Arabidopsis thaliana: one gene and its partners. The protein of the gene in region 3 interacts with the protein of the main gene of each other region in a pairwise test. Each region holds a gene or a part of one and is shown on either strand. Other genes may lie near its edges.

Evidence for each region.
Region 1: the proteins of RR10 (region 3) and AHP2 interact in binary tests that used the Arabidopsis thaliana proteins (3 or more experiments, as listed by UniProt).
Region 2: the proteins of RR10 (region 3) and AHP3 interact in a two-hybrid assay, tested with the Arabidopsis thaliana proteins (one study listed by BioGRID).

The regions. Positions count from the first base shown.
Region 1 is NC_003074.8:11,263,376-11,267,179, reverse strand, and holds AHP2 (histidine-containing phosphotransmitter 2), read left to right. Parts: upstream 1-1,617; 5' UTR 1,618-1,771; coding exon 1,772-1,837; intron 1,838-2,056; coding exon 2,057-2,187; intron 2,188-2,267; coding exon 2,268-2,339; intron 2,340-2,422; coding exon 2,423-2,494; coding exon of another isoform or gene 2,495-2,498; exon of another isoform or gene 2,499-2,549; intron 2,550-2,562; coding exon 2,563-2,635; intron 2,636-2,744; coding exon 2,745-2,801; 3' UTR 2,802-3,054; downstream 3,055-3,804. UniProt on the Arabidopsis thaliana protein: Functions as a two-component phosphorelay mediators between cytokinin sensor histidine kinases and response regulator (B-type ARRs). Plays an important role in propagating cytokinin signal transduction through the multistep His-to-Asp phosphorelay.
Region 2 is NC_003076.8:15,746,685-15,751,641, reverse strand, and holds AHP3 (histidine-containing phosphotransmitter 3), read right to left. Parts: upstream 2,912-4,957; 5' UTR 2,849-2,911; coding exon 2,636-2,848; intron 2,147-2,635; coding exon 2,016-2,146; intron 1,935-2,015; coding exon 1,863-1,934; intron 1,771-1,862; coding exon 1,699-1,770; intron 1,600-1,698; coding exon 1,527-1,599; intron 1,448-1,526; coding exon 1,394-1,447; 3' UTR 751-1,393; downstream 1-750. Other genes in the region: AT5G39350 (Tetratricopeptide repeat (TPR)-like superfamily protein), read right to left, coding at 1-713; AT5G39330 (transmembrane protein, putative (DUF1163)), read right to left, coding at 4,635-4,911.
Region 3 is NC_003075.7:15,443,553-15,448,954, reverse strand, and holds RR10 (response regulator 10), read left to right. Parts: upstream 1-1,912; 5' UTR 1,913-2,188; coding exon 2,189-2,315; intron 2,316-2,771; coding exon 2,772-2,924; intron 2,925-3,028; coding exon 3,029-3,367; intron 3,368-3,447; coding exon 3,448-3,524; intron 3,525-3,618; coding exon 3,619-4,473; intron 4,474-4,557; coding exon 4,558-4,665; 3' UTR 4,666-4,902; downstream 4,903-5,402. Other genes in the region: BAT1 (HXXXD-type acyl-transferase family protein), read right to left, coding at 5,259-5,402. UniProt on the Arabidopsis thaliana protein: Transcriptional activator that binds specifically to the DNA sequence 5'-[AG]GATT-3'. Functions as a response regulator involved in His-to-Asp phosphorelay signal transduction system.

The DNA of each region.
Region 1 (3,804 bases), on a different chromosome or scaffold from region 3:
TGTTTCCTTAGAAACTAAATAAATATTGGTTTATATTGGAGTAAAATGTGTTTGTACTTTGTAGTTAATCGTTGAAAGTTTTGCCACTTATTGAGCTTTGTCTGCGAGAGTTGACTCGGAAGAATATTTGCACATTGTTCATAGAGAATCACATGATATCTCTTCTCTGGTGGATTAGGAACCAAACGCATCTTGTAAAAGTTTCCAGGTTGGAGATTCTGATTTCTGAGTGACACCTAACGATTCCATATTTAAAGCTTTATGTTTTTGTATGTCTCTCATTGCGATTGGTATTTTTTGTTTAAGTAAATATGCATAAATCCATTCGTAGAGGCATTCCTTACAGTACTAGTGACCACATATTAACCTTTTAGGTACGCACACCGAAGTTGGCTACATAACTTGGGTGAGTATTCCAATCTGTAATGTGAATAGTTTACCATATCACATATAGCTCTGATACCATAAAAAACTATATGTGAATAATATTAAAAATCTTATACACAAAATTTTCTTTTAAATGGTTAGTCTAATTGTAATTTAAAAATATCGAAATAATAAGTTGCAATTTTTTTTTTTTTTTTTTGGGTCTTTGAAAAGAAAATATAATGTCAAATACTTTAATTTTTCCAAGTAAATCGAAACATAAGATTGATATTTTTCTTTTATATAAGAAAATTAAATTAGATTTAATATTATTAAATGAGTGTTTCATATTATATTTTTCAGAAAAAGAGTTTTTATTAATTAACCAAATACCAATAATTTACTTAAAAACTTGTATTGAATCCAAATGTTTCCCAAAAAAAAAATATTTAATTGGGATTGACAAAAATAGCACCAACAAAATTTTTTCTTCCAAAAATAACAACTTTTTGAAAAATTTCACAAGTAGCTTTCAAAATTTTAATTAAATATTAAATATAAATAATTAATTTTATTTAAATAAATAAAAATAAAAATTTTCCGCTAAAAATTTTTCGTCAAATTTTCTGCCAAAACAATTCGGTAATAAATTTTCCCGCAAAAAAAATTTTCCGTCAAATTTTTCTTGTAAAAAAACTTGAGGAAGCTAACTACGACATTCGTGAGGATTTCACGGAATTCAGGAAAGATTTTACAAAAAAAATTTTCGTAAAATTCTTCCTGAATTTCGAAAAAGAAAAATTCGGGAATTCAGGAAAAATTCTACAAAATTCAGGAAGGGTTACAAAAGAAAAAAATTATAAATTTCGTGAAACCTTTCCTGAATTGCTTAAAATCTTTCCTATATTTTGTAAAAAAAATTCTGAATTTTTTTTTGTAGGTAAAATGTGGGCGGCGTAATTATTTTTGGTGGAAAAATTTTGACGGAAATTATTTTGTAGAAAAATATTGTTGAAAATTTTTGGTATGAATTTTTGTATTTTTTTAAATGTTAGTTGTAATAATTAAAAATTAAATAATTATTTGAGTGTTATTTATGTTCACAAAACTTTTGAATGGTATTTTTATCAAAAAAAACTTTAAAATTATGTTAATTATGAAAATTCTCTATTTAATTTTTTTCACCCAAATAAATAAATACATAAAAATGTCCAAATATTTGTGTGTTTCTCTTTTAATTATTGTTTCCCATTTAAAGTAAAAAAATCTGGTAGCAGCGTTACAATTCGCGAGAAAGACAAAACACAAGTTTCTTCTTCTTGGGATTGGCTATTTCCAGAAATCCAAGTCAATAATCAAAGTCCAAACAAAAAAATCCTCTCCCAATCTCCGCTTCACTCTTCTCATGGACGCTCTCATTGCTCAGCTTCAGAGACAATTTCGTGATTACACCATTTCTCTCTACCAACAGGTTTCAATTCCACAATTCTTCAAACCCAATTTCATCTCTTTGCTTAGCTAATTTAGCTCATATACACACTAGATTGACTCCTATATGCATAGATTCATGACAAAAGTGAAGAAAGATTGAATCTTTATGTAGATTTTTACAAGTTATGATTTTTAGGGATTTGAGTTGTGTAAAGGTTGGAACTTTAGATTCATGGGTTTGTGTTTTTTTTATGTGAAGGGGTTTTTGGATGATCAATTTACTGAGTTGAAAAAGCTACAAGATGATGGAAGTCCTGATTTTGTGTCTGAAGTGCTTTCACTTTTCTTTGAAGATTGTGTGAAGCTTATCAGTAACATGGCTAGAGCTTTGTAAGTTTTTGATATTCTCTCAGCTAGATCATCATTGCTTGTGTTGTCTTAAAGTGTGATTGTGGCTACTTCTATTTCAGGGACACGACAGGAACTGTAGATTTTAGTCAGGTAGGTGCTAGTGTGCATCAATTGAAGGGTAGTAGCTCAAGGTATGTATCATGTCTCGCTTTATATAAGTAGCAGAAGTTGTGTGTTGTTGATTGATGAAAAGCTTTGTGTTGTTTCTATGTAGTGTTGGTGCCAAGAGGGTCAAAACTTTGTGTGTTAGCTTCAAGGAATGTTGTGAAGCTAAGAACTACGAAGGGTAAGCGAGTTATGGTTTTCTCTTGGGACTCATTGGTTGAGTAATAATAGTCTCATGTTATGTTACAGGTGTGTGAGATGTTTGCAGCAAGTGGATATTGAGTACAAGGCGTTAAAGACAAAGCTTCAAGATATGTTCAATGTGAGTGTGAATAGAATCCATCTCTGTTTTTGGCTCTGCTTTTAATGAATCATTTTGGTTATGAGTAATGAACAAATCATTGACATTGTTGTTGTTGTTGTTGTTTCAGCTTGAGAAACAGATCATTCAAGCTGGTGGTATAGTTCCTCAAGTGGATATTAACTAAAGAGACTAGTCCATAAGAAGAAAAAAGATGATGACTTTCTTTCTTTAGTTTCTCTTCTAAATTATTTTGGATTTGGTGTTTGCTCAAAAACTCAATAAAATATGTGCAAAAAGAAACAAAAACAAGTGATGGTTGTTTATAAATCAGTAGTATGTATTGTTTGATCTCATCCGAGAAAATTGAAACCATTGGACTAATGAATGTGATGATAATATATATTGGTTTGCTTCTGAAAGGTTTGGTTTGAGTAAGATATAGTGATTACTAAGTAAGTCTTGACTAGTGGGTGCTTCTAAAAATTGTGTGTTTAGATCTTTTAGTTTCCCAAATTTGCCCATAATGTTTTCGTAATTATCTGAATTATTTGTCTCGAAGTTGACCTTTACTCAAATTAGTAAAAGTTTGGTAGTGACTTTCCAAATTTTTACAACCTGTCTCCTTATCAGAATATGAATATCGTAAACCCTAAAACCTAAATCTAAACCATTACCCATTCGATATCCGAAATGGACATTCTAAGAAAATATGGTAATTCTTTCAGGATAAATCACAAACCGCTTTCGACGAGATTACGGAGCATGTAGTTAATAAACGGGGAAAATGTCATTTAAATCATCACTTTACCATTTTCGTTGGTTTAAATCATGAACTTTGGATCTGGTGAATTAAATCTTTAATTTTATGTTGACTTTCAAATTAATCACAAATTCTTGTTGACTAAGCAAATTGAGACACAAATTCTTTTTTTCGATGTCGTCAATCGACCTTAAGACGAAATATTACTTTGAATTCGAAAAAGAAGAGAAATTCCAAAGAAGATGAGAGATTCTGAAGAAAAAGAGAGAAAAAATCAAAAATTTTGATTAGAAAGATTTCTAACGATGTGCCTTAATTGGCTTAGTCAACGAATTCGTGATTATATTGAACGTCAACATAAAATTGAGGATTTAAATCACTAGATCGAGATTTTATGCTTCAAAACCAACGGAAATGGTAAAGTGAT
Region 2 (4,957 bases), on a different chromosome or scaffold from region 3:
CTCCCCATCTCCAAATCCTTCAAGTGACCACAAACAGGCAACATAGAAACAATCGTAGCATGGTCAAGATCAACACTTTCATTAACCATCCAATCAAACATCATTAACGCATCATTCATATAACCATTCCTATAATACCCACTAATCATCGTGTTCCACGAAATCACATCACGGTTCTTCATCACATCAAACACATCCCTCGCCATTTCAACCTTCCCAAAGTTCATATACATCGCTAACAACGCGTTCTGCACATACTTATCCCTACCAAACCAACTCCTCAAGATCCTCCCATGAACAACCAACCCCAATTTCATCGATTTCAATTCTCCAGCAGCTTTAGCAACAAAAGGGTATGTATAACCATCCGGAACACACTTAACCCCCTCACTAACCATCCTAATAAACACGCTAATCGCATCGTGATACAATCCTTCACGCACGTACATTCTAATAACAATGTTATAAGAAAGCAAAGAGCTTTGAGGCATTTCCTCGAACAGCTTCCGTGCATAAGTGATGTGACCACATAACGCATAAGTTACGGAGAGAGTCGAGAGAATGTGGCCGGAAACTCGACCGCCGGTGATGACGTGGCAGTGTAAAGCTTTGGTTTTTGAAATTGATTGAGTAGCTGCAAAGTGATTCAAGAGAGATTGGTATTGCTTGACGCTACTAAGTGCGTTGTTGGCTCTGCGCAAAACTTCACTCATTTAAAGAAAAAAACGACTGTTGAAAAATCTATTGGGTCGCAATTTTTTAAAAGCAACGACATATCTAACCAAACTGCGTGACGTTTGTATTTTACAGTGAGAAATGCTTGACGTTTTCTTATTTTACAGTAAGAACTGCGTGACGTTTGTATTTGACAGTGAGACTGCGTTGACGTTTTGTATTTCACAGTGAGAACTGCGTGACGTTTTCTTTCTTAACATTAGCTGATGGGTTTAACTTTAGGTTTCAGCTTTCACAGGGGACACTTGTGAGTGTTTGTTCTTGGTTTGTTCCTTTTGCCAATGTCTTCGTGAAGCTTTTTGCTTTCAGAGTCTATTCTTTTGCGCGTTGTCTTGTGTAGCTCTCCTTGAATTTTCTGCTTCTTATGATGCTTCTGTGTCTGGAAATATTCCTGTTTTTGAATACATAACTCACTCTTGTTCATATGGTCTTATGAGATGCAAATTCATACTATTCAGATAAGATCAGTACCAAGATTCAAGAGATGATGATACAAAAGATACATAGTATTGATCTATGAACAACAATCACCTCTCTTTTCCACACATTCTCAAGAGTTTTTTTTCTTTTTCGAAGCAACAAATTCGAGTAGTACTCGTCTGAAGAATGCAACTGGATGATCATCATCTTGCTGTTCTGTTGTCGATAGGTCTATTGTTTATATATCCACTTGAGGGATTCTACCACCAGCTTGGACAATCTGTTGCTCAAGCTGCAACAAAACAATGCAAGACTTATTCACGAAATTCGAAAGCAAAAAACCGACACAATTCACGTAGCTTTTCACTCACATTGAACAGATCTTGAAGCTTTGCTTTTAATGTCTTGTACTCAATATCCACTTGCTGCAAACATCTCACACACCTATAACAGAGATTGTTTCCCAAATTAGTTTCAACAATCAAATGAACATAGCAGAAATTTGAGATTCTCTTAAAGAAGAACCGGAAAACAAAAGCTTACCCTTCATAGTTCTGAGAGTCGCAACACTCCTTGAGGGTAACACAAAGACCTTTGACTCTCTTGGCACCAACACTTCATAGAACAACAAGAAAGGAGCTCTTCACTGAGACTAGATCCGAGATTAGACTAAAGGACCGAGACTATACAGATCAAATGTGACATACCTTGAGCTACTACCTTTGAGTTGATGAACACTAGAACCTACCAGTTTGAAATCTACATTTCCTGTCTGATCTCTGAGTATACATATGAACCAATCATTAAACCATATCTGCTAGCTTTTGATGATTAAACTCGTAAAAGAAAAGTAAACTTACAAAGCTCTAGCCATATTACTGATAAGCTTCTCACAGTCTTCAAAGAAGAGAGTAACAACCTCAGCCACAAAATCAGGACTACATTCATCTTGCAGCTTTTTCAATTCTGTGAATTGATCATCCAAAAACCCCTTTACAAAACCAACACAAAGAATCTCAGAAACCCATTTCACAAAATTCCCAATTCCAAATACAAGCTCCAAGTACCCTAAAAACAGTAGAGAGTAGTCATCCCTAAAAAGAAGACAACTTTGAAAAAGAGACAATAACCCATTTCACAGACCCTAAACCCAATTCCCAAAATCCCCAATTGCCATATACAAGCTTCAATAAGAACCCTAAAAACGTAACCACAAATTCAAAGTTTGCTTCACCAGAAAAGTAATCACTTTGAAAGGAGACGACTTTGAAAATGGAGACAATAACCCATTTCACAATCAGTAAACCTAACTCTTAAATCCCCAGTTTCCAATTTAAAAGCTTCAATAAGAACCCTAAAGACTGTGGAGAGCCATCTCTAAAAAGGAGACTTTAAAACTCAACCACAATTTCTAAGTTCTCTTCACAAGAAAGTTAATCACTTTTATCCTGAATCTCTAAGGAGAGATGCTAAAATTTACCTGGTGATAGAGACTAATGGTGAAATCACAAAATCGTCTCTGTAACTGAGCAATGAGTGTGTCCATGGCTCTCTCTACTCGTCGTGAAGGCAAAAGCAGAGAGAAGAAGAAGATGTAAAGTTTGTTTGAAATTGCAATCCCAATAAAGAGATTCTTACAGATCATCAAATTTGGACAGAAATAAATAAAGAAATAGTCACAAAGCTTTTCCATAAAGGGCAGAGAAAAAGAATTAGAATATGATTAGTTGTCAAAAAGACAACTTTTACAAGTGAGAAACATTGATTTAGGCCATAAAAAATGGAATCTCTAATTCATGATTGATACATTCATTCATTCACTCAAAGTTTTTAGCATTTTCCAATGTTAGGTATGTTTCTGTTATGTCAATCCACCAACACTAAGAATCTCTCACGCTGGAAGATTCTCTATAGACAAGTTCATTTGAAGCATTACCGTGTGGACAAGACTGAAGAACATTGGTTCTATTCTTTTGACATGAGCTTCAGAGAATCATATACTCTCATCAACTTGACCTCATGAAAACAACTTATAGTGGCAGATTTTGCTGTTTATGACAAACTAAAGGGTTTTTTGCACTAATATTAAGTTGTTTGGTAACATACTTATTAATATTATATCGTAGAGGCATTTAGAGTTCTTTCTTACCAAAATACTCTACCTTCTTTTTTTTTGCTATAACAGATTTTGATATTGGACTTGTTTTTTCGGCTGTTTAGATCTTTTTTTGTTTGAGTGAAATGTTTTATTTTTCAATTTGTTGGAAACAACTAATATGATCGCGAGTGTCATTTTGAGAGTTGCGGAGGCAGCGAGCTGGCTATATAGTAAGGTCAAAGGAGGTAAATCTGGCTTTATTCGGTAACACATCTAAGTTTAGACATCGAAAGCAAGAACTTTTGTTTAGAGGCATTCACATTTAAACTAGGAAACTTTGGGTGAGAAGTCCACACGTCTTGGCTATATATGAATTGCTAAGCTGAAGCAATATGAGGTGTTACATACCTCCTGCAAAATTAAGGTCTATATAATATAACTAGAGCCACCCCAAGCAAAATTAAACAATGGTTGTTAGCGCCAACAAATTTGTAAGGTTTATTTAGAAAATATTAGCATATATAAATGGTATAACTTATGGTGAAAGATTCATATATATGCTTAGGATAGTATATAATGATTAAGAAAACAAAGTGTAAAATTATAAGTGTTAAATCTTGGTGACCTGAGTTGAGTTGAGAATTGAGTTGTGAGATTAATACCAAAGAAAAAAGTGACCTGACTTGGATCTTAAAATCTTTCTCTTTTTTTGATGAGACGGATCTTAACATCTCTCTCGTTTATTGGTAAGGATCTTAACTACTCTCTTTAATTTAGTAAATATTAATTTAAAGAGATCTAAATGTCCCAAAATCTTAATAAAATTATAAAAAACTCCAAAAAAGAACATTCGGTCCGTGTGTAGCTATGTTCGGATTAAACGTTTTTAATAGGTAGGTATTGGATCACCCCATGCTTAGCAAATTTTTAAACACTAGATATATATATACAAATTTACTATCACAACACAAAAGATAAAGATCCACCTTTGGGAGGGCAGACCATGCACCACACCATTAATTAGAGATCTTGCATGCATATTGATCTCATAGATGCAACATTTGTGGAGAATGAAAATACCATCCCAAAAATTGAATATCATGGAGGAAAATAATTGCAACTTGTCCGTCAAGGATAAATGCCTCGTGTAGAAATCATCATAACACCACGTACAACTCCATGATATTGCTCTAGAACATATCTATTGTTCGTAAAGAGAGAGAATTAAGAATGTTCAACACTTAACATCTAGAAGAAATATATTCCATTAATTAATTTATAGGAATTTAATTTAGGTAAAGCAAGTCCATATCAAAACGCAAAAGAATTTAGAAAGTCCATCATTTGACAAACTAAAGAACAAACTATTGATGAAAAGTACTTAGCGAAGATAGCGGCAAATAGGGTGGTCTCCAAACAAAGTTGCATTCCTTTGAGAGCCAGGCTCGAACCTTAACATGGCTTCATCACACGCATAGTTCATCTTTCCACTTGTCCCATATCTACAATCCGGAAGAAGCAATCGCGATCGGAACCTTATTTCACCTTTTTCCTTGATATCCTTCATAATATCTTTTATAATCACACCCTCCATGTCTCCTTCAGAAGCAATCGATGAAACCCTAATCAGCTGAGCCCACCGTGGTATCAGACTGTAACTGATCAATCATGATAAGGAATAACACAAAAATATGTGAACAAATA
Region 3 (5,402 bases):
CCAAAGTGTTGCTGTTAATTTCTCATATTTAAATGTGAATAGATATATACTATATACTAATATACATGTGTGTATCCTATATGAGACCATAAGCCAATGACAGTAGGTATTAGCTAATGACAAGTGACTTCCAATAACTTATTAAGAAGTAGAATCTTTACAGATTTGATGTTTACATGGATCTTCTAGAAAACTGATTTCTTTAATCTCTCTAATGTCATCTGCAACTATTTAACATACACACACACAAAATAAAATAAAATTGGAAGAGCTAATGATAATGATTTGTATTAGAAAGTTGTCCTTTATTTTCCAATGCATTGCATCGAACATATGTTGATGTTCTTTTAAAATCGTAAAATCTAGTTCTGTATTCTTTTATTCTAGGTTTATCAAGGCTTTGTCACAAGACAATGAGAATACAACTTTTCTCTAATTTTCTTCATATACTAAATAAATTATCGTAGATTTGTAGAAGGTTCTTAGGCTAGATTCAAAAAGTCATTTAGGATCTCTTTCTAGATCTTGCATTTTTTTTAGTAAATCTTATGCTGGTGATACTTTTATTAAACCTTATGATTCTAATTTGGAAAACAAAACTAACTGATAACCTATTTTACATTAATAAAAACGATGCATAATTGTAATAATGTTTTATTTTTTTATGTTAATAAGCTAGCCAAAACATATTATTGATCCGAAGTACGCTATTTTCTATAAGAAAAGGAGAGGCACGGAAATGAACACGCTGTGTGGTTAATCCAAGAAATCATACAAAATTAATTCATAAACTATAATAAAATCATTGGGATCTTATTTTGCACCCACCAAGCTTGTAGGCTGAAGATGCGGATGGAACCCAACTTCAAGAAATTCTTGCCTTTTGTTTTATGGCTTTTTTTTGTCTTGTCATAGTTATATAAATGTATTTTGCTAAATTTAAACGGACAATCAAATAAATAAATAATATATAATTTGTAGTTAACAACTAAATTCAATGACTAATATCATGTAACAATAGACTTGTGACAGCAGTTTTCTTTGTTGACTTCAAAGTTTAATTCGAGCGTACGATACATTTGGTCGGTGATAAATATCGTGCTATGAGTTTAATTTGTTGACTTGAAAGTTTTATAAACATTGTGAACCATTGTAACATGTGTTTCTTGATTATACATATTCCTAAAATTAATTTCATATGGTAAGAGTGTAAAATTATCCAAGTAATGGTGTAAATTTTAAAAGTCTTTTTTTTTTTTTTTTTTCATCAATTTTAAAAGTCTTTCTCTGACGTTAAAAATAGTCTTGTCTTAGGTTTGAATAATATCGGCATTAGCCATTATTGGTCGTTACTATGGGATACTTAATTTTGCTAAATCTTTCAGAACCTGTACGAGATAAGCGAAAAAGCCATGAACCACGGTCACGCGTGTCTCGCACTTCCCAACTTTCACCATGCATGCTCTCACTAAAGCCTGTCTTTTTTTTTCTTTCTTTTACATATTTTAAAATCATAATACCATAATTTGCACTAATTCTTATGGTAAATCCGTTTTATGAGATACTCAACTTAGTTGTCCATTCCTTAAGACACAGATTAAGGAAAGTATTCAATTCTTTTTGAAGTTATGGTAATAACTCAAATTCTTCTTTCCTGCCTTGAATACTTGGTACAATATCACAAACATATCTCTAAATTAATTACATGATCTGCAGAATCATTTACATAAACACTTTCACATTTTTATCCATTTAAAAAAAAAAATATTATGATCCTCTTTCCTTTTCAATTAATTATCACTAAACTAAAAAATATTATTCCCACAGTCAAAAGAAACCAAACTAATTTAAAAAAGGTGGCGCGTGATTATCACGCTCAAATGACCGATCGGTTCCACTGAATTTTCTCAGAGATTCTCCTCTGAAAATGTTTTTTGTTTTTTTCTTATGTCAAAAAGAAAATTTACCAGAAATGATTAAAATTTGAAAAGAGAATTCCATAAATGAGTTAATTCGCCAGTCTTGAAGATCATTACAGAGTTTTCAGAAACCATATGTAGTCTTAGATTCTCTTTTGCCAAAGAAGAAAATTTTACTCTGCCATACAACTTTTTGTCTCTTTCTCTACTAATAATAATAATCCGAACTTTGTTTGTTCTTCTACTTCAATTCATAATCTTTGACGGCGATGACTATGGAGCAAGAAATTGAAGTCTTGGACCAGTTTCCGGTTGGGATGAGAGTTCTTGCTGTTGACGATGACCAGACTTGTCTCCGTATTCTCCAGACTTTGCTTCAGCGCTGCCAATATCACGGTTTGGTTCCTTCTCTCTCTCTCTCTTTGTTTTTTTTTAATACCAAATTTCTTGATGTTTTCTAGATTTTGGATTTGGTTAAGCTACAAAATTTAACATCAGATTCGTTTCTTGTCATAACACCATAAATCGATTCCTCTCTAGATTTTTATATTTTTGAAGACGAGCTTGAAGAATCAATTAAGACTATATTAGCTAGATTCACTCTCTGCATATTTTTTTACTTTTAAAAATCCATGCTTCAGATTTTGTTGCTTCACTTGTGTTTCAAAGGTCATTGGTTCTTGTTCGTTCGATTTGAAACAGTCTCTTGTTCTGTAAAAATTGAGACTTTGGGGAATTATTACATATTTGATTGCTCCCCATGTGTCACAGAGCCATTGGTTCTTGCTTTACTACTTTTGAATGAGTCAAAACTGAAACTTTGTGGGTGATTATTATTATTGTAATGTGCAGTTACAACAACGAATCAGGCACAGACCGCATTGGAGTTGTTGAGGGAGAACAAGAATAAGTTTGATCTTGTTATTAGCGATGTCGACATGCCAGACATGGATGGTTTCAAGCTGCTTGAGCTTGTTGGTCTTGAAATGGACTTACCTGTCATAAGTATGCAGCTCTCCTTGTTCTAGTTCATAGTTCCTAGAGAAAGTTTTGATCGTTAGACAGATTTGACTGTTTGAATCTTTAACATGATGATTGAATTCTTGCAGTGTTATCTGCGCATAGCGATCCAAAGTATGTGATGAAAGGAGTCAAGCACGGTGCCTGTGATTATCTGCTTAAACCGGTTCGAATTGAGGAGCTTAAGAACATATGGCAACATGTTGTGAGAAAGAGCAAACTTAAGAAGAATAAGAGCAATGTGAGTAATGGTTCAGGAAACTGTGATAAAGCAAACAGAAAACGTAAAGAACAGTATGAAGAGGAGGAAGAGGAAGAAAGAGGGAATGATAATGATGATCCAACGGCGCAGAAGAAGCCTCGTGTTCTTTGGACGCATGAGCTGCACAATAAATTCCTAGCAGCTGTTGATCATTTAGGCGTTGAGAGTAATGTTTCTTGATCTCTCTACCTCTAGTTTTCATTTAGCTGTGAATCATGTTCTGATTTATAAGTATTGATGATGCAGGAGCTGTTCCAAAAAAGATTCTAGATCTGATGAATGTTGACAAACTCACTAGAGAGAATGTTGCAAGCCACCTTCAGGTGAGAGTTAGACTATGATTCTTCAGATTTGATCTGTTAGTGTTGATATATGTATGATTCCATTAAACACATTTGTAATGTCTTTTGGTTGCAGAAATTCCGCGTTGCTCTGAAGAAGGTGTCTGATGACGCCATTCAACAAGCTAACAGGGCGGCTATTGACTCACATTTTATGCAAATGAATTCTCAGAAAGGACTTGGTGGCTTCTACCACCACCACCGCGGAATACCTGTTGGATCCGGTCAGTTCCATGGTGGAACCACAATGATGAGGCATTACTCTTCAAATAGGAATCTTGGTCGTCTGAATTCCCTTGGAGCAGGAATGTTCCAACCAGTCTCATCATCGTTTCCTCGTAACCATAATGATGGAGGAAACATACTTCAGGGTTTGCCGCTAGAAGAGCTTCAGATCAACAACAACATCAACAGGGCTTTTCCAAGCTTTACTTCACAACAAAACTCTCCAATGGTAGCTCCCAGTAATCTGTTACTTCTCGAGGGTAACCCGCAGTCATCATCTTTACCCTCAAACCCGGGTTTTTCTCCTCATTTCGAGATCAGCAAGCGTCTAGAACATTGGTCAAACGCTGCATTGTCAACCAACATTCCACAGAGTGATGTTCATTCAAAACCTGACACCTTGGAATGGAATGCGTTCTGCGACTCAGCTAGTCCGCTAGTAAACCCAAACCTGGATACAAATCCGGCATCTCTCTGCAGAAACACGGGTTTTGGATCCACAAATGCTGCACAAACAGACTTCTTTTATCCATTACAGATGAATCAGCAGCCTGCAAACAACTCAGGTCCAGTGACAGAAGCTCAACTGTTTAGAAGTAGCAATCCAAACGAAGGTTTACTCATGGGACAACAGAAGCTTCAGAGTGGTTTGATGGCTTCTGATGCTGGTTCCTTAGATGATATAGTCAATTCCTTAATGACACAGGTATTGTATACAATAAAAACCATTTACTTTTTGCACCTTATTCTTTTGGAGATTTCTGAAGATTTGTTACTTTGACTGTAACAGGAACAGAGCCAATCTGATTTCTCGGAAGGTGATTGGGATTTGGATGGTTTAGCTCACTCGGAACATGCATACGAGAAACTCCATTTTCCCTTTTCTTTGTCAGCTTGAGAAACCTGTTTTATTCAGACACAATCAATTATTATTATCTTTTGGTTCTGTCTCTTCTCTCTTCTCTGTAATGAAAGTGTAAGCTATTGTTTACCGCTCCCCCACTGGTTTGAGCAACTTAGGAAGATCCAAATCCATAAATAAAATTCAAAAAGTACCCTCTTTGCTACAAATGTAAAGGTGTTTTGAAGAGGAAGTCAAAGTCTTCGTGTCTAAGTGCAAAATAACGTTAGAATCAAAGTAGTACAATGATTTGTACTACCAGCCTAAATCGGCCCCATATGCCCAATAACCTGGCTTAGGTGTCAACCACCCAACATTGGCGACCTTAAGAAAAAAGTCTACAAAGAAACATAACTTTATAATTATTTATCCAGAAATTCTGGAAGAAAATAAAGCCTATCACGAAATGAGTATAAAAGTGATAACGACAACAAATACAAAGCAGAGAGATGTCATTAAATTATACATCATCATAACCCAATTACAATAAAGTGTCTTTAGCGCACACGCATGCATATAGAGGAGCCATTATCATACTGTATACTACCACAAAGATTCTACTAATTAATTAATTATCACCAGCTAATATATTAGCAATCAAGGAAATGATTTGAAAAGCCATTAACATCTCGTGGGTCCAAGCCAATCCTCACAAGAACACCTTTGGCATCTTTAGGGTTCTTCATGAAATAAGCAACTTGTGGCACCGGTGGACACAGTGGGGCCATGTAATC